Rattus norvegicus: one gene and its partners. The protein of the gene in region 1 interacts with the protein of each later gene in a pairwise test. Links are inferred from orthologs where the notes say so. Each region holds a gene or a part of one and is shown on either strand. Other genes may lie near its edges.

The links.
Region 2: the proteins of Ccnd3 (region 1) and Crabp2 interact in binary tests that used the Homo sapiens proteins (3 or more experiments, as listed by UniProt). The link is inferred for Rattus norvegicus from reciprocal best matches to the Homo sapiens genes CCND3 and CRABP2.
Region 3: the proteins of Ccnd3 (region 1) and Atf5 interact in a two-hybrid assay, tested with the Homo sapiens proteins (2 studies listed by BioGRID and IntAct). The link is inferred for Rattus norvegicus from reciprocal best matches to the Homo sapiens genes CCND3 and ATF5.
Region 4: the proteins of Ccnd3 (region 1) and Rbl2 interact in a two-hybrid assay, tested with the Homo sapiens proteins (2 studies listed by BioGRID). The link is inferred for Rattus norvegicus from reciprocal best matches to the Homo sapiens genes CCND3 and RBL2.
Region 5: the proteins of Ccnd3 (region 1) and Vdr interact in a two-hybrid assay, tested with the Homo sapiens proteins (2 studies listed by BioGRID and IntAct). The link is inferred for Rattus norvegicus from reciprocal best matches to the Homo sapiens genes CCND3 and VDR.
Region 6: the proteins of Ccnd3 (region 1) and Eif3k interact in a two-hybrid assay, tested with the Homo sapiens proteins (2 studies listed by BioGRID and IntAct). The link is inferred for Rattus norvegicus from reciprocal best matches to the Homo sapiens genes CCND3 and EIF3K.

The regions. Positions count from the first base shown.
Region 1 is NC_086027.1:20,891,196-20,894,875, reverse strand, and holds the end of Ccnd3 (G1/S-specific cyclin-D3), read left to right. Parts: intron 1-927; coding exon 928-1,087; intron 1,088-1,522; coding exon 1,523-1,659; intron 1,660-2,086; coding exon 2,087-2,254; 3' UTR 2,255-3,180; downstream 3,181-3,680. UniProt on the Homo sapiens protein: Regulatory component of the cyclin D3-CDK4 (DC) complex that phosphorylates and inhibits members of the retinoblastoma (RB) protein family including RB1 and regulates the cell-cycle during G(1)/S transition.
Region 2 is NC_086020.1:175,713,487-175,717,661, reverse strand, and holds the start of Crabp2 (cellular retinoic acid-binding protein 2), read right to left. Parts: upstream 2,801-4,175; 5' UTR 2,699-2,800; coding exon 2,629-2,698; intron 1-2,628. UniProt on the Homo sapiens protein: Transports retinoic acid to the nucleus. Regulates the access of retinoic acid to the nuclear retinoic acid receptors.
Region 3 is NC_086019.1:104,432,014-104,436,059, forward strand, and holds Atf5 (cyclic AMP-dependent transcription factor ATF-5), read right to left. Parts: upstream 2,783-4,046; 5' UTR 2,766-2,782; coding exon 2,588-2,765; intron 1,336-2,587; coding exon 668-1,335; 3' UTR 501-667; downstream 1-500.
Region 4 is NC_086037.1:32,061,912-32,065,411, reverse strand, and holds part of Rbl2 (retinoblastoma-like protein 2), read left to right. Parts: intron 1-681; coding exon 682-948; intron 949-1,105; coding exon 1,106-1,386; intron 1,387-1,598; coding exon 1,599-1,775; intron 1,776-3,500. UniProt on the Homo sapiens protein: Key regulator of entry into cell division. Directly involved in heterochromatin formation by maintaining overall chromatin structure and, in particular, that of constitutive heterochromatin by stabilizing histone methylation.
Region 5 is NC_086025.1:130,866,570-130,869,163, forward strand, and holds the end of Vdr (vitamin D3 receptor), read right to left. Parts: coding exon 2,579-2,594; exon of another isoform or gene 1,615-2,578; intron 1,437-1,614; coding exon 1,177-1,436; 3' UTR 501-1,176; downstream 1-500.
Region 6 is NC_086019.1:93,394,688-93,398,965, forward strand, and holds the start of Eif3k (eukaryotic translation initiation factor 3 subunit K), read right to left. Parts: upstream 2,801-4,278; 5' UTR 2,735-2,800; coding exon 2,676-2,734; intron 1,745-2,675; coding exon 1,646-1,744; intron 1-1,645. Other genes in the region: Map4k1 (mitogen-activated protein kinase kinase kinase kinase 1), read left to right, coding at 3,987-4,085, 4,246-4,278. UniProt on the Homo sapiens protein: Component of the eukaryotic translation initiation factor 3 (eIF-3) complex, which is required for several steps in the initiation of protein synthesis.

The DNA of each region.
Region 1 (3,680 bases):
GAGTAGGGCTGCGATTTTCATGTCTGGAGATGGGGGAGGGTGTCCACCTAGCCTCAGTGAGGACCACGCATAGTCTTCATTGCCTTTTGGGTGCTGCTCCCTCAGAGGCTGGATGCTAGCTAGCAGAGCCCTGGGTGCGAAATTCAGGCTTCCTTGCCTTACTTCTGGCTCTAGTCCAGGCTGTTTCTGTGGGGTCCTGTAAGACGCCTGGGGCTGACACCTAGGTCATCAGACAAAGAGAGGGACAGCTGTTGCTGGGGGGCCTGGAAGAGGTTGGGTGGGGCTGTCATTTTTACCTCAGTGAGGAGTCAAACCCATGAGTTCCTTCCTGAAATAAAACAATGAAGAAATCCTCCTGTGTGCAACTCGGAAGTGCAACTCAGGCCAGGTCTAGGAACTTCAGATGAGTAGACAGGGGTTGGGGCTCCTCGCCTCCTCCTCCTCCTCGGACCTCTCCATGGTTATGTAGGTTTCTCAGGGGTCATCTGGATTCATCCTGTTTGGCTTGGACTCCCTCGTCCTGAGACAGGACCCACCCATAATGTCCCACAAAGGGGGTGTGGGTTGGGTTGGGCCACCTCCCCTTCGAGGAACCTTAGGAGTGGCCTCATGCTCGTTCTGTTTAAGAGACCTGGCTGCGATGCAGGGTTGGAAGAGATTTCCGAAGCCTGTGGAATTTAGAGTTGGTCTGTTTCAACCCACACCAGCCTCAAATTCATGGGAGGATTAAGAGGGATAGATAACCCATGTCATCCTAGCACCCAGTAACATCAATGGATGCTGACGTGTTTGCCCCCAGATCTTCCCTGCCCCGAACTCATTCCGCAGCACCAGCCCCTGAAGCCAGAGGCAGAACTGTGAGCCTTCTGTCAAATTCTCTTGCCCCTTTGCCAGTCACTGACTCCATGTTCGTTCTCTATCCCCCAGGAATGGGAGGTGCTGGTCCTGGGGAAGCTCAAGTGGGACCTGGCTGCTGTGATTGCGCACGACTTCCTGGCCCTGATTCTGCACCGCCTCTCTCTGCCCAGTGACCGGCAGGCACTGGTCAAAAAGCATGCTCAGACCTTTTTGGCCCTCTGTGCCACAGGTAAAAGCCAACCTGGGGAACTTGTGGTTTTGTTTGGAAGGATAGGTAGTAGCCGGGAGATTGCTTCAATACTCAGAGCTGTGTACGGTGATAATAGTGAGAGGTTACTTGCCTAAGGTCTTCATACCAGGGTTTTAGATAGTCTGTAGTTCCTGACCAGGCGCAACTTGGGTAGATGGAAAGTTTGCTCACATCTCAGAGAAGGTTGGGCTGGGGTAGTGGTTCCGTGATAGTGTGCATGTCTTGGTCAAATTGCCAGCACCATGCGCACACTGAACGCTCTCCTCCCTAGGATCTGCCATTTCCCCATGGCTCTGTCACCCCGTCCACCCCTGGGGATTCCCAGTCTGCTGTATCCATGCAGCCTGGCGTGTAGTAAGGTGTGGTAGGATGTGTAAGATGCCTCTCTTCTCATGGTTCCCTCTCTTTTACAAGATTACACCTTTGCGATGTACCCTCCATCCATGATCGCCACGGGCAGCATCGGGGCTGCAGTGCTAGGCCTGGGTGCCTGCTCTATGTCTGCAGATGAGCTCACAGAGCTGCTGGCGGGAATCACAGGCACTGAAGTGGTAAGTCTCAGGCCCCACTCACAAAAACAGTGCTATTCCCCTGAATCCCCAGCAGAGGGCAGCATCCATCTCCCAACTCCGATTGTATGCCCTTGCCGGCTTCTCTGGCCTTTTATCTCCTGCTCCAGTCTGGAGAGGAGTGGGTGGGGTGACGGACACTTGCATGTAGATGCCCCCCTCTTGGCAAGTGCTGTGCCGCGGCCAGGGGTGGGGGACTTGGTGTCAGATGCAGGGTTGCTCTCACACCCTTGCCACATCCTCTTGCCAGTTTCTGAGAACTAAAGCCCTGATTCCTGGGCTGGGCTGTGGCCTAACCTCCCCAGACTTCACGGTGTGCAGGGGGAGGTCATTCCCTTCTACCTGCCTGTTGTCAGTACTGTGGCCAAGAGTCCCATCAATGGATGATGACCTTGTTTTTTCTTCCTAGGACTGCCTGCGTGCCTGCCAGGAGCAGATCGAAGCTGCCCTCAGGGAGAGCCTCAGGGAAGCTGCTCAGACAGCCCCCAGCCCCGTGCCCAAAGCCCCCCGGGGCTCTAGCAGCCAGGGGCCCAGTCAGACCAGCACTCCCACAGATGTCACAGCCATCCACCTGTAGCTTGGGACAGGCCCCCTCAGGTGGCCACCAAGCAGAGGAGGGGCCCCTGCCACCCCCTCCCTGCCTCTAGGAACAATTCATGCCATATCTGAAGCCCGAGGGGGGCTCTTTTTCCCCTCACAAAGCCCAAGGGGCCAGGTCCTGCCTATCCCCACAGTGTGCACTAAGGGGCTGCTTGGTCATGAGGGTGTCTACATGGCCAGTCAGTTCCTCTTCCTTCCCACTCAACCAGCTTGGCTGTCCTGGGCCATGATGGTCAGAGAGATACAAACAGGTAGAACCCACACACCAGCATTTCTTTTGAGTCCCTCCTCTGTCTGGGGCGCCGATCCTTTCAGTTGCCAAAACGCCCCAGTACCTTCCAAAGGTGTTGTTGCCCCTCGCAGGGTCACTGCATTTGGATCTGGGTCCTTCAGAAATCCCGATAGACGCCTATGAGGAGCCAACCTAGATGGCTGCTGTGTAATCCTACTCCAGCTGCTCTTAGCGGGAACAGCCTAGGCCTTGGCTAGAAGAGCAAGCGCCCGTAAACTGTTGCTTTGCTTCCTGCTATGCTTCTGTGGTTGAGGGTCTTGAGGGTGCTGATGGTCATTTTAATTTATTGCTTTGAATACAACCGTAAGAGGGTACAGTGAGGCCTGTACCCCACAAGTGGTGGTAACCCTGGCGGTTGCTCTTTCCCTCCCCTCTGCTACCGCTTTGTGGCCCAGGAGCTGCTACAGCCTGGGAGGGGGTCCTGCCTTCCTCTCCGTAGCCCTCCAGCTCATCTTCAGCGGGGAGGGTTTAATAGGGATGGATGCCGTGGAGGTGACTGGACTATCCGGAGAGAGGGCGAGCCCCATGGACACAGGTCTTTCCTCAGGCCACAAGGTTTGGGCTGGTGGCCCATTTCTATCATGCTGCCTTAATAAAGATTTCAGAATAAAGCTGGCTCTTGTGATCCCTGGGTTGTAGAGCTGGGAGGCACAAATGAGAGGTCTCAGGCAGAATAAGTACCTTTTCTGGGGAGGGTCAGGAAGGAACTGCTTAGGCTGCATAGGCTGCTTTACCTGGGCACACACACAGATTATAGAGCTGAGGAGTAGCCACCGTAACCCAGAGGGCTCATGGGAAACAGGGATGCAGTTTTATGTAAAACCATACAAAATGCTATACTCCAGCATGGTGGCAAACTTCCCTGGCACACTCAGGGCAGAGGGAGAGGTTCTGGGCTAACCTATGCTACACAGCAAAATCCTGCTGCAAATAAAACCAAACCCCTAGGACCAGATGGGTGGCTCGGCAGCTGAGAGCACTGGCTACTCTTGAGAACCTGGATTTAATTCTCAGCATTTAACTGCAACCATTTTTAACTCCAGTCTTGGGATGTGATGCTGTGCAGGCACAATGCTCAGAATGCATTAAAACCGGATGAATGGGGTTAGGG
Region 2 (4,175 bases), on another chromosome or scaffold:
TTAGGTCTCTACCCTGGTAGGTCTTTATTTGCACAATCCCTGCCCCTCCCAAAACCGAGGAGCAGATTCTCAGCAGAGGAAGGTACAGGTGAAAACGGGGTGACCCTGGGCTTAAACTTTTCTGACTTTAAATTCCTCAACTGTCAAAAAAATAGCTTTTTCTAATTGTCCTATGGCTCCATGTTTAAGAATTTAGGGTACACAAGGCCAAGTACACATTCATGTTTTCTGGAAACTTTTATTTTTTTTAGATAAAAGCAAACACAATGAAAGAAAGAGCCACAGCCTAGCAGGGCGGGGCATGGTGGTGGACACCTTTTGGGAGGCAGAGGCAGGGGGATGTCTGAGTTCAAGCTCACCAGCCTGGTCTACAGGGTGAGTTCCAGAACAGCCAGGAATATACGGAGAAACCCTGACTCAAAAAAACCATTAAAAAAAAAAAAAAAGCCAGGACATAGTGAAACCCATTATTACATGCAGGCGATATATACAAATAAAAAAGAAAAAGCCCAAACTGGGCTTGAACAAAGTTTCCTGCACCAGACTCTCTCTGCAATGTCCCAGGTCTCTTTTTTTTTTTTTTTTTTTTTTTTTTTTGTTCTTTTTTTCGGAGCTGGGGACCGAACCCAGGGCCTTGCGCTTCCTAGGTAAGCGCTCTACCACTGAGCTAAATCCCCAGCCCCCCCAGGTCTCTTTCAAGGGAAAGCTCTGCTGTCCTGAAGGAAGGAAGGGGGAAGAAAGGATGGTACTGTCCCACCCCCTCTCTGACATCATCCAAAGGCCTTCCCACTCAGCCTCTGTGTATTTAGAGTCTCTGTGTCCTCATATACTTTCCCTTCCCTGTCCCCACCCTCTAGTTATGAAGGAGAGCGTCCCTCTGCTGGGATGACCAGAAGGTAGGGGCACCAACCTCTCTAAGCCTGGTGACATGATGGAGAACTAGCCCTTCAGGGTGCTACAGGGGACAAGACACTGCCACTGTGCTAGGTCCCACCCCACCCCCATATACTCACACAAATACTCATGCATCTTATAGCTCTGGGTTCCTGAGAAGAAAACTGGACACTTCACTCAGCGCCAAAGCTGACTCACCCAGTCTCAACTGAAAGACCTGCTGTGTTTGCAGTGATTATCATGGTGAGCCCTGAGACTCCTCCATAAAATGGACCCTGAACGGAACTGTGGAGTCTTCGGAGGCTGTGTTCAGAAGAACCCCACCTCCCTTAGTCCTTGGTGCCTGCAGAGCTGGGGTCCTGGCTCAGCTGACCTTGGCTGACATAGGCAGTTTGTGTAACAACGGGTCTGTTTGCAATCTACCCCCTAGCAAGTCGCGTGGCTCAGAGAGACCCTGCAGGGAGGACAAACATTCTGAAGGCAGACAATAGGGTTGGGCCTTTCTCTCCGGCTGGAACCTGGGGGTGATGCCAGCCTCCCACATCCACTGGGGAGAGGGGCCAGAATTCAGAGCAAATGGGGGAAGGAATGGTAATAGATTTTCTGAAAATTTCTGTTCTTAGATCTTTAATTTCGCAAGGGCGGAGCAGGAAAAGTGGATATGACTCTAAGAATCATTGCGGTTAGCTGACACAAAGAACTAACAGCAAGGAAAGATGAGAACGGAGGCCCTACTGCCCTCACGGCATTCTTTTTAGCTCCAGATTCACTTTTGTATAGTTCCTAGCTCTTCAAGGATATCCCCTGTTTCCCTCCAACCCGGGCTCCCCTCCACTGCAGAAATGGAAGGCGTCTTGACCCTTAGGTTCTAGGGTAGTTTCCACAGCCTGGGGCGGTTAACTCCATCTCTCCTCAGATGTCTCTCCTGCCCTATACCTTCTAGCCCAGTCCCATCCTAGAAGGTAAACGAAGTTGGGCAGGGAAAGTCTGGGTGGATTCTGTGTTCCCACCCTTGGCTAACAGCCAAGTTGCGCAGGGTGCAGCTGGTCCGTGGCTAGGAGGGAGGCAATCCTAGACTTTCGGAAATGGGGATTGGTGTTTCACACGACGACATTTGTTGAAATCCAAGAAAGTGGTAATTGTCCGGAGCGGGTTTTAGGGCTTTGGAGCCGGTTGCTGTAGGAAAATATTTGTCTCACAGGTGGCGGTGGGGTGGGGAGACTGGAGTGGGAAGTGCAAGGTGTGGGGGAGGGTCTGGGAGGTGAAGTGGTGGACCACCTGGTGGGCGGAGCCAAGCGTTGAGGGTAATGGACCTGTCGCCCGGATTGGGTTACTGTTAGGGTACGTGGAAAGAGCTTGGAATGTCTCCTAAGGGCTCCCTGCCTGAATACTGGATTCTCAAAGCTCAGAGCCAGGTGTCCTGGTCAGCAGGTCCAGGCGCCGAGGCTAGTCAAACCCTCCTGAGACTAACCTCGTGCTCTTGGTTTTTACTTGATTCACAGGCTCTGAGTCACCGTTGAAGCTGGCACCGGTGGGAGCCCAGCCTCAGAAAGTAGGATTTAAGTCTTGGGCCTAGTGCCCTAGGACCCAGGGTATCCGGCACGCCCCTTTTCTGGGATGCAGACTCCCAGGCACCCACTCCCTGATTCGGCCTCCTTTCGTTTATTCGGCCTCAGTTCTAAAGACCCCAGCGCCCTTTTTGCCCCCCTTCCCAACTCATGAAAACCTCCTTACCCAGAGCTTTTAGCATTTCTTCAAAGTTTTCCGATCGGATGATCTTCCAGTTGCCAGAAAAGTTAGGCATAGTGGCAGCAAGGTGGCTTTCTCTTTAGATCTTCAACTAGAATACTGGACGCCGAGTCCTTTAGCCTAAAGGTACCTTGCTGTCCCCTTTGCAGAACAGATCCTTCCACCTGGGGACCAAGCCGCGTGGAGGACAATTGCACAGCCGCTGGGCGCCAGAGCTCTAGGCTTTTATACCCAGCTGGTGCATGAGACGGCCCCGCCCCCGCCCCGCCTTCCGCACCACCTGGGGGCCCTGCTCTGTGACCACTTCACCCCCATCCTTTCCGGAATCCCGCCTGTTTCTAGAACTGTGGGTGGGTCCAGGGTTCTCTAAGGGCCAAGATACCCTTCTCCCGCATCAGTAGGCGGATGGGGAAGCATCAGAAGACAAGAACGAGGTTTGTGCCTCTGGCAAGCCCAGGGCACAGTTAGCCTGCCTGGGTCATGGTTGCTCCGGTCTCTCGGCCTGCAGGGCGAACACAGGTCCCATTTCACCAGCCCTCTACTAGTCCTCTACCAGACTCGGTGCTCTGAACAGCTCGGCGCCAGACATCTGGAGACCCCACTCATGCAAGAATTGGGGCCCCCGGCAACCAGCAGTCGAAATGGACCCAATGGAACAGCACGGAAGTCAAGCGTTCCTTTGGGTGACTGGGAGGTGCCGCTCTGTTCTCTACCCCTTGACTCAGCCCTGGGTTCGAGCAGTGCCTGGGGACGCCTGAAGTGAGCACAAGGCAACTCATTCATTCCTCTCCAAGCATTGGACGGACAATGAAGGGTTAAGCAGGAGCCCCCGGCTCGAGGCTAGAAGGGCAGAGGTCACAGCCAATCACTTGACAAGACTCTTTATTAAGGCGCTTTCTCGGTGGCTACGCTTCCCTGGGCCCCCTGGGCCACGAGGGGGGAAAAGACGCCAATCGCTCCCCGCCCCGCCCCCCCCCCCACTCCGCATGCCGCGGTGCCACTGGCGTTGGGGGAAGGCTGGCTGTGCAGGGAAGGGGTGGGTCTGAGATGTCCCGGTTCAGAGTTTAAAGTGCGGCGGGCCAGCCTCTCCGAGGGTGATTTTTTTTAAGTGGGTGAGACCCTAGTGGAAAGGCGGAGAGACAGGAGCAGAAAGGACAGGCGAGACCTCGGAGGCATGCCGGTAACCCAAAGCCAGAAACCACGCCGCCGCTCTATGCTGCAGCTAGAAGCGATTGCCCTTGCTTGGGCGTTTGCCCCCAGCCTCCCGGGGCCCTCCCTGTAGTCCCCTCAGGATCTCAAATAGGATCCCCGCCTAGCCCCTCCTTGTCTAGGTGGCCAAGGTTGGAGCAGGCAGCCCTGACCTGTGAATTGGGGACTGACAGGCTTTGGTGGAGGGTCGAACTGAGCTGAGGACAGGGCCTGGAGGATTAACCTCAACCAGAGGCCAGTGTCATGCGAATCAGGCCTACATCGAGGCAATCCCAACAATGGAGTGTGGAAAACTTGAAAGGATGAGGGAGGAAGGCTACCTC
Region 3 (4,046 bases), on another chromosome or scaffold:
TTTGGTTTATTCTCCGTTGTCTTTATGACTACCCCCAGACTCAGTCTCCCCAGTCCCCTCTCAAAGACAGACACACAGGCCACAGGAAAGTCTGCATTTTATTTGAGCCCACAACCCCTGGAGGATCAGCCCCCACCAGATGCAACCCTTCCCCCACACCTTCACAAAACACTGATTCTCTCACAGAGCTAAAATGACACCCTAGTTACCAACTACAGCCACCCCTTCCTGTCCCTAGGCCAGTATAGCCTTCTATTCTGAGGACTTGGTTCCCTTTCCTCGGCTGGCTTCTCACTTGTATTCTAAGTCCTCTCCTTAAAACCCTCCCTCCCTGACTAGGTTCTCATGTGCACAATCATCCAGAGTGGCTTCCTGCCTAATGTCCATGCCAGGCCTGGCAGCCTCCCCCCGACACCCAACTAGGACTACCTGCAAAAACACACTTGTTTTAAGACTCCAGAGACCAGGGATCAGGCTGGCTCCTCTGATTCCCTGAGGGCCTTGGTTTCTCAGTTGCACTGAAGGGGTACAGAAACTGACTATGCCAAATAACCCATAATGGGGATAGGCAGAGGGGAGACCTAGACACGGATGCACAGGGAAGTGAAATGGAGGGACAGGGTGAAGCTGGAGGCACAGGTACACCAGAACTGCCTCCTCCTGTACCCTAGGCACTGCGGGTCCTCTGGCTTCGTGCCTTATACACCTCAATTAGCAGATCCTTCACATACTGGATCTCCCGTTCCACTGACTCTGCCCTCTCCCTCAGCTCCCGATTCCGCGCCTCTAGCCCTTGGCACTCGCCCTCCAGGGCCTCGCCCTCTGCCCGCTTCCTCTGGCGGTACCTGAGAGCAGCTGACTTATTCTGGTCTCTCTTCTTTTGCTTGCGGTCCCCTCGGGTGCTGGCAGGACTAGGATAGGGGGCTGGTCGGGAGGGTGAAGGCAGAGGGGCCAGAGGAGGAGGCTGCTGGGGGACAGGCAGGGTTGTCAAGCCTGAATCCCCTGGCCCAGCCTCACTGCGGCAGTAAACAGCTAGCAAGTCCAGGGTATCCAGGGTAGGAGGCTGCGGGAGATCAAAGGTGGGCAAGGGTAAGGGCAGGGGCAGAGAGGGTGCTGGGGGTGGGGGTGGAGGTGGGGAGGGCGGTGGAAGGAGTGGGGCATCAAGGAAGAAGTCTTCCATCTGTTCTAGCTCCTTCTTGAGTAGGGATGCCATGGCTTCCAGGTCAGGGGGGGCAGGGGAGGGTGGGGGGAGAGTGCCTGGGGGCAGAGGGGCCTCCAGAGGAAGGAGGGCTGTGAAGTCCACCCGCTCGGTCATCCAATCAGAGAAGCCGTCACCTGAGGATGTGGGGGGAGGACATAAAAATCTCTAAGGTCTGTGCTTTATCCACTTGGTGTTCATTCATGCCCCATTCACTCAATGTGACAAGTGACCAGCCAGCCAACCATCCAATCTATAGACCTGTCAGCAACCAGTGAGTTAGGGAAGAAACTAATCAACCAATCAACCAACCAGCTAGCTAGTTTACCCATCAAGCCACTAACTAATGAACTAACCAACCAGCCAGCCAGCCAGCCAATCATACCTAGTTCATCAGCCAACCACCCAACAAATCATTAATCAATGAACAAGACAGCCAGCCAATCATCCAATCAGTTCACCAGGCCACCTGCTAATAAACTAATCAACTCATTAGCCAATCAATGAACAAGCCAACCAATGATTCAAATCAGTCAACCAACCGATTAATTGACCAACTAACCGATGAAATAATCAGTCAGCCACTCAGTGAAGCACTCGCCCAACTAATGGCCCACCCGACGAAGGTCAGCTCCCATCTCTATAATCCTTCTCCTTGACCAGGTTGGTCGACTGCACCCCACACTAGTGTCTCCTCTCTTTCCCTCACTTGTTTACTTATCTATTGTCGACAGAGTCTTGTGTAGACTAGGATAGCCTTGGACCTGTTCTGTAGTCTGTAGCTGAGGACAACCCTTAAACTTCTGACTCTCTCCCAGAGTGCTGGGATTATACTCACACACTTTCTCTCCTCCCTCCCCCCTCTGTGTGTTTGCGTGTGTGGGCGTGACTCTCTCCATCTTTATTTGCTCTCCTTTTGTGTTTCTCAGATGTTTGACAACTATGTTCTTACCAGGCTGCCTAGGTTGGCCTGGGCTCAAGAGGATGAGAAGCCTCTAACAGGGGAAGTTATGGACATAAGCCACCAGGCACAGTCTAGGACAACCATCTGTTGACTGCCTGCCTCAGAATCTCTGAGATAGCGCTCCCCTCAGGACTTATCATGGCTCCCTTTGCCCATCCCTTAGCCCTCAATCCAGAGGTTGTCTACTTAGAGAAGGCTGACTTCTCAACCATGTCTTCCTTTCAGCTAAGCTTTGGCTTCCCACCTCTGTCTCCTGATGCTTCCACGAGCTTTGGTATCCCTTGCTCTGCACCTTGCACATGAAGAACAGGGCTGGGCACACTGCAGGCCCTCTGTACTGATCTTGTGAATGAATAAATCCTTCCTTTTCTGTCCTTCCACACCCCGCCACCTTAACCCACCTCTCTTTTTCACCTGTTTCTTACCTGCCAGGGGCTCTCCCCCCCCTGGAAGCCCGCCCTCCAGGGCACCCCCAAGGACCTCATAGGGGCCCAGGGGGGCAGGGGCCAGGGGGAGTTTCCCATAGTCTACGAGCCAGCCCAGCCCGCTAGCTGGGAGCAGGGCCCTGTCCAGCTCCAGTCCCAGGGTCGCCAGGAGTGACATGGCTGAGGCACAGGTGCAGGGCTGCGATGGCAATGGAGGCTGCACCAACAACTGGGAGGCAGCGTGGAAGATTGTTCAGCTGGGTGAAGACAGGCACCAAGGCGAAGGTGGAGGGCCTGTGAGGAAGACAAGGTGGCGTGGGTGGGGTTGAGTCAAAGCTGCTTGACCCACAAGCTACCCACACTTTTCTTCTTTCTGCAAATTCCAGAGCTCCATACATTCCCAAGGCAACTTTTGGAAACTCCCCAGCCCCATCTCCTCCCTCAACACAGAAACCTAGTGTTCTCCCAGGGGAATTACTTCCAGCCCCTCCTACCTACCTCATCTTATTGCTCTTCGTAAAAAAATTCAATCCCAAGGTAATTTTATTTTCTTCTAGCCGTGCCCCTTCCGCATCAATATTTTCTTTAGACTATACGCCCTTTAGAGTTCACAGGGGTTCCCAGAATAATTCTGCCATGCCTTGGGCCCTTCATCAGTGTTACACACACAAATCCCACTCTTCCCTTAAAAGTTTTAGGTGACTTCTACAGATTCTACGGGAAGCCCCGCCCACACTCCTGTCTGTCAAGTCAGTTCCCGCCCCCAACTAGCAAGTCCCTAGAGGCCCCGCCCCTTGGTTCTAGCTCCAAGTCTTTCTTAAAGGTGTTCTTTAGCCTTCCCTGTCAATCTAAGCCAGTCCCCGCCCCAGCAGGTGCCTGATTGGAGGGAAGTTGGACCAGTGTCAGAGCCTCGAGGAACTCCACCCTTCCTCGCTGATTGCTCGCTAAGCCGCAAGACGAAAGCTCAGACCCTGGACCGGATTCATTGTTACGCCACTACCCTCCTGGGGGGACCAGTGCGTGTGTTTAGCCAATTACCGGCCGCCCTCCGTAGTTCAGGCCGGGAATAAGGTAATGCGCATGCGCAATAGAGTGTGGGTTCGTATCCTCTGAGGGGAAAGGAGGAAGAGGGTCTGTGAATTAGTGCGCAGGCGCAATGGCGCGCGAACCGACCTTAAAAGCCCCCAGACTCTGCGGAAGCACACCCTCCCCCACGCCTGGAGCCTAGTGCGCTTGCTCAGCGGATGCGCCGGCCACCGACTTCCCTCTTCTGCGCCTGCGCGACCGTGGTTCCTCATATCGTCTTCCCCACCCCCTCCCCACGAGGCTGACCCGTGAAGCCCCGCGAGCTCTGTGAAAGGGCGGGAAAGGCGGTTGGAGAGGGAGGGGCGAGCGGTTACTCACTCCATGGCTGCGAAAAGGAGAGGAGGCAACGGCGGCGGCGGCCTCAGTTGAAGAG
Region 4 (3,500 bases), on another chromosome or scaffold:
AAGCCATTGGGTGAAATGTATGGTACATGAGTCATGTCTCAATAAAGCTGTTTAAAACTAAGTTTTAAATCTAAACCATACATGTCTATCTTGCTGAAGAATATGGGGTTGGTCATCTTCCCTTGCGGAAAAAGGCTGAACATTCACTGAAGGCTGAGGAGAAACCACAGGACGCAGGATGGCAGGCAGGTCATCCTGTCTCCTGCTAGGTAACATCTTTGTTAAGACTTGAGTATGGAGGGGTTGGGGATTTGGCTCAGTGGCAGAGCGCTAGCCTAGGAAGCACAAGGCCCTGGGTTCGGTCCCCAGCTCCAAAAAAAAAAAAAAAAAAAGAACCAAAAAAAAAAAAAAAAAGACTTGAGTATGGGGGAAAGTAAGTGATTCCTTAACCGGCCTCTTCATCAAAGTCAGCAAGGGACAAGGCGGTTGAGGACAGGGCCTCGCTTCATTTATGGGAAGAAAACCAGAAAGAGAGCACTGTGGGACATAGCATTTCCTTCATGAAACGCTTTCAGTTACATTCCTGCTAGGATGAATATGGGTGTACCATGACTTCTGTACTTTTTATTTGCTTTTAAAATTATGAAGTATTTGAAACACACTGAATTTCTTTTGAACAAGAGCTTAGCTAGAAGTCAGAACTGTCTCTTTGTTAAATAGTCTGATTTCTTTTGATCGTAGGTGTGACATCTCCAACCACATTGTATGACAGGTACAGTTCCCCAACAGTCAGTACTACTAGAAGGCGGCTATTTGAGAGTGACAGTCCCTCTGAAGGAAGCACGGCTGGGCGCATCCCCCCACAACCCCTAGTCAATGCTGTCCCTGTGCAGAATGTATCTGGGGAGACTGTTTCTGTCACACCAGTTCCTGGACAGACCTTGGTCACCATGGCAACAGCCACTGTCACAGCCAACAATGGACAAACAGTGACCATTCCAGTACAAGGTAAGGAAGGCAGGGTTAGGGGTTGAGTTCTCTGGCATTTGTCAGAAAGTCACCTAAGTTTGGGAAGTGTCAATGTAAGATAATGATGGAAGACGGGGGGCGGGGGGAAATAAAACCTTCATGTCGACCATTCTTTCTTCTTTGTAATAAACCGCAGGTATTGCCAACGAAAATGGAGGGATAACATTCTTCCCAGTCCAAGTGAATGTTGGGGGCCAGGCACAGGCTGTGACTGGCTCTATCCAGCCCCTCAGTGCTCAAGCGCTGGCTGGAAGTCTGAGTTCCCAACAGGTGACAGGAACAACTTTGCAAGTCCCCGGTCCGGTGGCCATTCAACAAATTTCCCCTGGAGGACAACAGCAGAACCAAGGCCAGCCGTTAACCAGCAGCAGTATCAGGCCTCGGAAGACTAGCTCCTTATCACTTTTCTTTAGAAAGGTAACCTTTCATGTACCCTTACTGGAGCACAGGCTCAGGAAGTGTAAGCATTAAACAAGGTTTGAAATATTCTTTTTGTTTTTGTTTTTGTTTTTTTTGTTTTTTTTCCGGAGCTGAGGACCAAACCCAGGGCCTTGTGCTTGCTATGCAAGCGCTCTACCACTGAGCTAAATCCCCAACCCCGGTTTGAAATATTCTTATCTCTCTGTTAGGTTTACTACTTAGCTGGTGTCCGCCTTCGAGACCTTTGCACAAAACTAGATATTTCAGATGAACTGAGGAAAAAAATTTGGACCTGCTTTGAATTCTCTATAGTCCAGTGTCCTGAACTTATGATGGACAGACATCTGGACCAGTTGTTAATGTGTGCCATTTACGTGATGGCAAAGGTAAGTACTATTTTTAGTACTGGAAAGCCAATGATGCCCCTTTGTTCCCTAGAACATTTTTAGATAACCACTCACCGAGTCTCATATCCCAAATATGTGCTGTCAGCAGAGCTTTAGAACAATCCAGCTTATAGACATTGGGCAGTAATTTTTATCCATCAATTAATAGACATGTGGGTTGTTCCTCACAGTTGTGAACAGCACTGTTGTATACATTGTGGGTGAAATTTGTGTAGACACAGGCTTCCGTTTCCCTCAGAGTAAATGCCTAGAAATGGATCTGTGGATCATATGGGAACTGTATGTTTAAACACAAAGGAACTGCCAGGCTACTTCTCAGAGTATGGTTCACATGTTTATATCCCTATTTAATATATAAAGTTCTTAATTCCTCTAGTTTCCCATTAGTACTTAAAAAAGATTTACTATATGTTTGGAGGGGGAGGGAGTTTTTGCCCTGAGAATTCATTGCCAAATTTGAGATCCAGTATCGTGAGGCTTTACCTTGTCTAGAAGATTCTAGAAGAGTCTGCATTCCAGAGTTCCTGACTCATCGTTAGATGTGGTATGAGATCCAAGTCCAGCTTCACTCTTTTTGTGTTGCTTTCTGGCCACCACACCACTATTTAAGCCCCATCTCCCCACTGAATGAATGGTTTTGGCATGTTTGTGTTAGCAGACACATGGTTATGTCATGTAGTGGACACATGGGTTATGTCAAGACCGTCTATTTGACTATGTTGATCTTTGTCCATCATACGTAGACCTTTACACTCTCAATGACTCTTGCTTTTCTATAAATTTTGAAACTGGAAAATACGAGTCCTAATTTTATTTTATTTTTGATTATTTTAGTTATTCTGAGTCCCTTGGAATTCCATAAAAGTTTTAGAATCAAGTTGTCACTGTCATAAAAGTCACGTGAAAATCTGTAGATCAGTTTGGAGAATTCAGTCATGTAGGGGTCAGTCTTCCTTCAGGAACGTGGTGTGTTCTCACATTTGTTTAGGTCTTCAGTTTTTAACAATGACCCATACTTTCAACACGTAGTCTCCCCCTTGTTGTTTTTCCTGTAGGTTTTGATGGTATTGTACATGTAGCTGTTTCGTTTTTGATGTACTCATTCCAAGAGTTCAGAAAACAGTTGGATTCTGGGCCTTGACTTAGTATCCAACAACCTTGCTAAGTTGGTTGTTTTTTGTGGTGCAGGGATTGAACCTAGGGCTGTTAAAATGCAAGACAAGCACTCTACACTCAGCTGTCTCTAGTCCTGAAACTCTTACTGGGTTCTAAGCATATTTTGTGTCAACTGTTTTGATGGGCAGATAATGCGGTCTTAATAATTATACTATTACTTGTCCAAATTCCCTGTCTTTCTTAATTGCCATGGTTAGAACATCCAGTGCAATGTAAAAAGCAGAAATCCTTGTATGCTTCCTGGCCTTACAGAGAAAATAATTAACTAGTCTTTCCCTATCGGAATATGGCATTAGATCTCTCTCCACCCCACCTGTGAGTGACCTCAGGTAGGCCGCTCTCACCCGGTGAAGGATTTTACTTATTGTTGTTTGATAAAAAGGTGTTGGATATTATTAAAGGCCCTTTTCTGTATTCATTGTGGGGTTTGCTATGCTAATGACATCGTATACTACATTAGTTGGATTTCACGTCAGATCACCTTTGCAAATCTCTTGGCTTATGGCAACAATTTTGGATTGCACGTTT
Region 5 (2,594 bases), on another chromosome or scaffold:
GGAGGCTCGGAGGCCCATTTGGGCAGCTGTTGGTCTTCTCCCATCCCATTCTATTGGGCGGACAAGGTAGCTCTCATTGGTGTGTGTGTGTGTGGGGGGCACTGCTGCCAAGATGACTCCCGGGATACTCCTGGTGGTCAAATTGGGAGGTCGTGTGAGGCCAGAGGACCTGCTTTCTTGGGTAGGTGGTAAAACACTGGCGGGGTAAGGGATGGAGACAGGGCTATGGATTTCCTGAAAGTTGGGGACAACTTGGTCCTGACACATCTAATAGCTATAGAGGAGAGGTCCCAACAGCTCCAGGCTTCAGAACCCTCAGCTTGATGACCAAGATAGATGGACCTTCATTCATTGTTCTGCTGGGAGGCTGACTTTCTCTGTTCTTCATTACTTGGGCCCTGTATTCTATCTCCTGGGGCCTTTCCAATGGTGGTTTCTAGGTCCCTGGTTCTGGGCATGGGGAAGAAGCCCCCTGTACCACAGGTACTGGCCCTGGGGAATTCCCATGGCAAAACCTCAAAGGTGGGAACTGCAGGGCTGGGTGAGTGCTCCTTGGTTCGTGTGGTAGTGTATTTGGTCATCTTGGCAGTGAGTGAGCCCCGTGAGTATAAAGGCAGAGGAAGGAGGCCCCTCAGTGACCTACTCCCCCGGGTCAGAATAACACAGACAGGCGGCAGGATGAGACGGGACACAGTAGGGATGATGGGTAGGTTGTGTACCCTTCGCAGGCAGGGGCCAGATTTCTCACCAGGCTTTGGGCAGGTAGGGCTGGAGTGAGGGGAGGTGCAGGTACCTGTCCCTGAGGAGTGAATGCGTCTCTTCTGCCTGCCTCCCTTGACACAAGCAGCAGCCCCTTGTGGTGGAGGCATCCCCTAGGCAGAGTTCTGCCTTCAGCCCCTGCCCTCTATCCCCAATTGAGTTCCTTTGTCAGATAAACAGCAGCCTCTCCTAACTGAGGTCTCAAGAGACAGGAGCAACTCGAGGTCTACAGGAAAGGGAGACCAGGTGTTAGGCTGGGCAGGAGAAAGGATGAGGCAGACAGACAGAGGCCATGGCAGAGGAAGGACTGAACTCCAGAAAGGGCAGGAGGCACTGCTGGGCTGCAACCAGCCCAGGGCCTGGGCACAGGGCTCTGGAGGAGCGGCCCTACCCAGGCACCACTGTGGGCCACCCTGGTCAGGAGATCTCATTGCCGAACACCTCCAGCACAAGGGGTGTGAGCTTCATGCTATTCTCGGGCTGGAAGGAGAGGGAGCGGTATTGTTTGGAGTGTTCCTCGTTGAGGCTCCGCAGGTCGGCCAGTTTCTGGATCATCTTGGCATAGAGCTGGTGGCTGCCTGGGGGCGGGTGGCGGCAGCGGATGTAGGTCTGCAGCGTGTTGGATAGGCGGTCCTGAATGGCTTCCACCAGCTTGGCGTCCTGGACCCCAGGTCGGTCTGTGTCCCAGGGGATGGAGGGAGACAGGATGTTCACTGTTCAGTTTCACAGAATCCACCATCACCCAGGTACCCCATGCCAGCATCCCCCTGATGACATCCCCTGCATTTGGGACCAAATCCTTTCGCGGGCTCATTTGGTCCTGTTCCCACCTCACCCTACTTCTTCTGTCTCTAGGTTCAGTCCTTGCTTTGGAACTCAGGTACTTCCTACTCTGGCTAACAGACCTCCCCGTTGCCTGGAAATCAGCTCTCGTCTTTCCCCCCTGACCAACCGGTTATCACGGAACAGGCGCAAAGCGCTTTCTGAAGAAGGTCGTTCCTGGTAACCCTCCATCTCCACGCCCCCGTGACCTATACCAGGATCTCTCCGGCAGCATCTTCATATTCAACATTCTCGTAATATTTTGTTTTCCTTTAACTCTCATGGGAGAGAAGTCTATCCTTTTTACTGCAACTCCCTGTGCCTAGCCCAGTGTCTGGCCATAGTAGATGCTCAGTTAATCATTACTGAGCGTGTGAATAAGTGAACACACGTCAGCTAGACAGCAGGAGGGAGGCATATGTCTGTCCTTTGGGCCTTCAGACTAGGCATTCCTGGCCATAGGCCACTAGTTTGTCCCCTGTGCACACATGGTCCAGGCTGAGTCAGGGCTCTGTTCTTTGGGTTTTATCACCAATTTCTTCAAGATCACAACAACTTCCTTCTCAGTGTCTCCTCCCTTTGGGTTACAGCCTCCAGCCTCCAAAGTCAACTCAGGCAGAAGCATATATTAGTCCCCAAGGATTTGTGCCTGCATCGGAGGAACTCAGGAGACTGGAAAGTTCATCCGAGGTCACGCAAGAACAGAGCCTGAGTATTAGGAACACCCAAGTCCCATGAATAAGCTGTGGAACCCTGCTCATCTGGTTCCTCAGAATCCTATGAATCACCTTGGCCTGCATAAGACAAAGCCACATGTGTCAAGCGACCCCTCCACAGGCCTTCTGGGCTGTGCAAACCCAGCAAAGTGAACATTTCCTTGTCACTTCTCTCGTTCATTCCTCCCCCAGACTTCCCTGCTGGCTCTGAGAAGCTCTCTGTCATTCACAGTCCCCAACGTGTCCCAGGTCCCTCAGCTCCTCCCTGCCAGGCTCCGTACCCGGGGAGACAATGCA
Region 6 (4,278 bases), on another chromosome or scaffold:
GAGGGGGGTTGGGAATTTAGTTCAGTGGTAGAGCGCTTGCCTAGCAAGCGCAAGGCCCTGGGTTCGGTCCCCAGCTCCGAAAAAAAGGAAAAAAAAAAAAAAAAAAAGCAAGCACGGGAGGCATCCGGGTGTGGTAGCACATGATGCGTGTACTCGAAAGTCTGAGGCACAGGAGCCCCAGGAGTTCGAGGTCAGCCTGAGCTCTACAGTAAAGTGCTGGGTGGGTCTCAGAGAACGCAAGCCGGATGATGGCACGTGTTCATCATGACAGCACTTGGGAGGAGGAGTTCAATGTCATCTTGATAGCAAGTTCAAAGCCACTGACAGCTACAGGACCCTGGCTAAAAATAAGCAAATAAATTAAGAAAACAAGAAAAAGGACCAGAGATGGCTTAGTCAGTATAAACACTTACGGTGTAAACTCACTGATCTAAGCTAAATCTGGACTCATAAAACAGGATTCAGTGAGTTTGCCCCAGTGCTGCCATGGGGAGACGAGAAACAGAATCTTCTAGAAGTGTGCAGGCCAATCAGCATTCAGAAGCAGAAATCAGAAAGGTGGAAAGTGCCGGACATGGTGTCCTTAGTCCCAAGGCCACCCTGGTCTATAGCAGGAGTGCCAGGACTCAGCAAAACAAACCGGTGGAAAGCAAGATTGACCACTTCAGGTTGTCCTTGGACCGCCACCCTTGCCCTCACACTCATAAAACAAAATGAATTTAAAAGAATAAAATAGGGCTGGAGAGTTGGCTCAGAGGTTAGGAGCACTGGCTGTTCTTCCAGAGGTCCTGAGTTCAAATCCCAGCAACAACATGGTGGCTCACAACCATCTGTAATGGGATCGAATGCCCTCTTCTGGTGTGTCTGAAGGCAGCGACAGTGTACTTGTATATAATAAATAAATCTTTAAAAAATAATAAAATGTTTATGCCAGGTAGGCACGGCAGCCTGCCTGGCACTCCAGTCTCTGAAGATGTTACCACAGGGATGCCAAGAGCAAGCTGGTTAGCCAGACAAGCTGTGTTGGTGAATTCTGGGCTCTGACTCTGAATAAAGTGGAAGAATGATTGAAGATGACTGGTTGATATCAACCTCAAGCCACATGCATGTGTGCACACACAGCCCCTACACACACACACACACACACACACACACACACACACACACACACACACACTCATGAATATGGGTAAAGAAAAAAAATGGAAGAAGGCTGCCTCCAACCCAGAGGAAGATGCATGGTGCGGAAGAGCTTGAGCTATGTGATTACAGCAGAGCTCAAAGCAAACAGACCTGACCTAAGCTGATCTGGACCCAAGGCTGGGCCATAAGGGCTCAACAGTGGTTTACCTAAGCCAGGGATGTGATGGGGTAAAGCACATGAGCTGAGGGCCAGCGGAACTAACAAAATGGATGTTCATTTACAATAATCTGTCAAGAAACAGAGAATCGTTTATTACCCTGTATGTTTTTGGAATGGATTAAAAACAAAACAAAACAAAACAACCCCACTCAGACCCTTAGTTTACACACAAAGAGAAGTCACACCCTGCAGCTTGCCCCAGGCACCTCTGCACCAGGTTCCCTATCCAGAGTGGCTTTCTGCTAGCTAGCTCCTGGCATGAGGGTGGGGACAGACACTCACAGTTTCAGGACGGCCAGGTTGGCTTCTAGATCATAGGCATTCTCCTTGGCCTGTGTCTCCACATACCGCTCCAAGGTAGCCAAGTTCTCGGGATTGTACCTGGTAGGGTGTTAAGATGGGTGAGTACCCTGGCATGGTGGATACATGCCATTCATCCCAGTACCTAGGAGGCTGAGGTAGGACAGGAGGATTGCAAGTTTGAAGCTAGTCTGGGATTTATAGTGAAAACCTGTCTCAAAAAAGGAAGATAACTAGACAGACAGACATGGGTAAACAGAAGAGAACAACAGAGGCCAGTCCCATTATAGGACTTAGGGACCACTGTAATTTGTTAACCTGAACTCACTCTCTTCCTTCCGGCAGCTTTGATTCTAGCCATGTGGTATTCCTTTCTTTATTATTCTTTTTAATAAAGCTACATTCATTCGATCTTAAATAATTTAGTCCCATCCACTGAAACTACCTAGATAGCTGATCAACTGTACTACCTCCAGTAAGTCTTGTTCACAACATGGACCTCTGGTTAGCCCTACTTGAGCCCCGGGTCGTGTCTAAGATGCCTCCAACCGCAGCCAGTCTCTGCAGCCCCTATGTGTTCCTGAATACCTTCTCTTGGATTCCGTTCTGACCCAGTTCCACTCTCTCCTGCCTAGGTCAATACGTGGCTTGCCCTGGCCAGGCCCTGATCTCTCCTTACTGTCACTATCTGTTAAAAGGGGTTGTCGCCGGGATGGAATGGGAACCTAGGTCCAGGAACGCAGGACCTGTGGCTGTTTCCATCACCTCCGGTTCCCACTGGCCAAATAGAAATCAGTGAACATTATGTAGGATGGCCCACAAGAAGGACAGAGGAGGAAGAAACTAAGAAACATCGAGAGTCTGTGGCAGCAGAAAAGGTAAAGTTGAGGGACAAAGCTAAACTTGGAAAAACTCCGCCTCTGGAAGAGCGTGAAGCCCTAGCCACCCAGGGCTGGCTTCCCGTCTTCTCCACCCCGCTTGATCAGAGCGCGCCCTCCAGCCGAGCTCAGACCTGTCGATACCCTTGAGCAACTTGCCCACGTTTGCTCTCATCTGCTCAAACATCGCCATGACCACTGTCGCCTTCTGCAGCCCCAGCTGGAGTCGAACACCAGTTACGGTACTAAGTACTCAAGGACCGGAAGAAAAAGAAACGTGGTGGAAGCGGAATTACGTCACACCCTCTCTCTAGTTCCTACAAGGAAGGCATAGGGAAAGGCGCTTCCGGCAGCCGCGCCGGTTTTTTTTTTTTTTTGCTACCACATGATTTCCTGCTAGCAGTTGTAATTTGCGCATGCGCATTGGTCACACCTAAAAGAGACCAATACCGTGAGAAAGGTATAGTCTGCCTTACTACGCAGGCGCCAGGAGGCGGGCTAAGCTTTTCCCGGGCCGCACGAACCTTAAGCTTCCGATGCGCGTGCGCTGGAGTTGTACGGGAAAAGGAGACATAGTTCTCTGCACGCATGCGTAGCCATAAATCCCTATAGCCGCTTGAAGGCGTCCATTCTTTTCTTTGCGTTTAGTCGGGTGGGAGATGCTCTCTGAAGCCCTTCTTGTCTCCGACTTGGGTGCCTAAGATAGCATCCCGTATCCTCACTTCCTCGTTAAGTTCCAAACCCTTGTCCCCACTCGCATTCCGTGATGCTACAGTGCTCTCTGCTAGGAAGCTGGGAAGGCAAATGATACCAGCACCCGGAGGGACTACCGTGGTACAATGGAGTCTCAATCAGGCTCCGCGTAGGGACTGCTAACAAGTGTTCCACGTCTGCCACAGATTCCGTACACTTTTGAAGCGATGCAGAGACATGTGCCATGTGGGCAGGTGCCCTGAGCCCAGCTGTCACTTAGGTCACACGCATGTGTCACGAGTAAACAGTCCTCTGCTACTCATCCAGCTTTGTGCAGACCTGCGACCTCTGGCTTGACTCCAAATCTTCAAGTACTCAGCAGAGGTTCAACTGTAACCTGTGACTCCTCCCAAAATAGGAGAGTGTTGGGGAGAGGGAGCTAGGTCAGCCCAAGGTTGCATTTAAGAACTTTTGCATCTTATTTACATAGTGTCCTTCAGGGAGTAAAGGGGAGTCCCATCAGTCCCAAGGCGATCAAACTCTCAGAACCCAGGGGACGGGGGTGGAGCCCTCTGCGGAGCCCTCTGCACAGCCCTGCAGCTGGGGCAGGAAGCGAGAGTGGGGAGGGGGAAGGCCACAGCCCACAGAGTCAAGGCGGGCCCAGGACTTGTGGAGACAGAGGGTAATACCAAAGCTTGAGCCCTGAGGCCCTGTTGGCCCACTGGGCACTGGCCCAGCCCCGGCCTCCAGGGATGGCCCTTGTGGACCCTGACATCTTTAATAAGGACCCTCGAGAACACTATGATCTACTGCAGCGACTGGGTGGTGGAACGTATGGAGAAGTGTTCAAGGTGAGAAAGCCCTTCTGTCTCCTCCACCATCAAACCTGGGAGAGCTGGGTGAGGCCGACAAACAGGACTGTAAAGGAATGCCAGGCTTTGGCCTTGGTTCAGAGATGCTGGGGATGGCAAGCTATGGTGCCTGCCTGATGGCCAACTTCCCCTTTACAAGGCTCGCGACAAGGTGTCTAAGGACCTAGTGGCT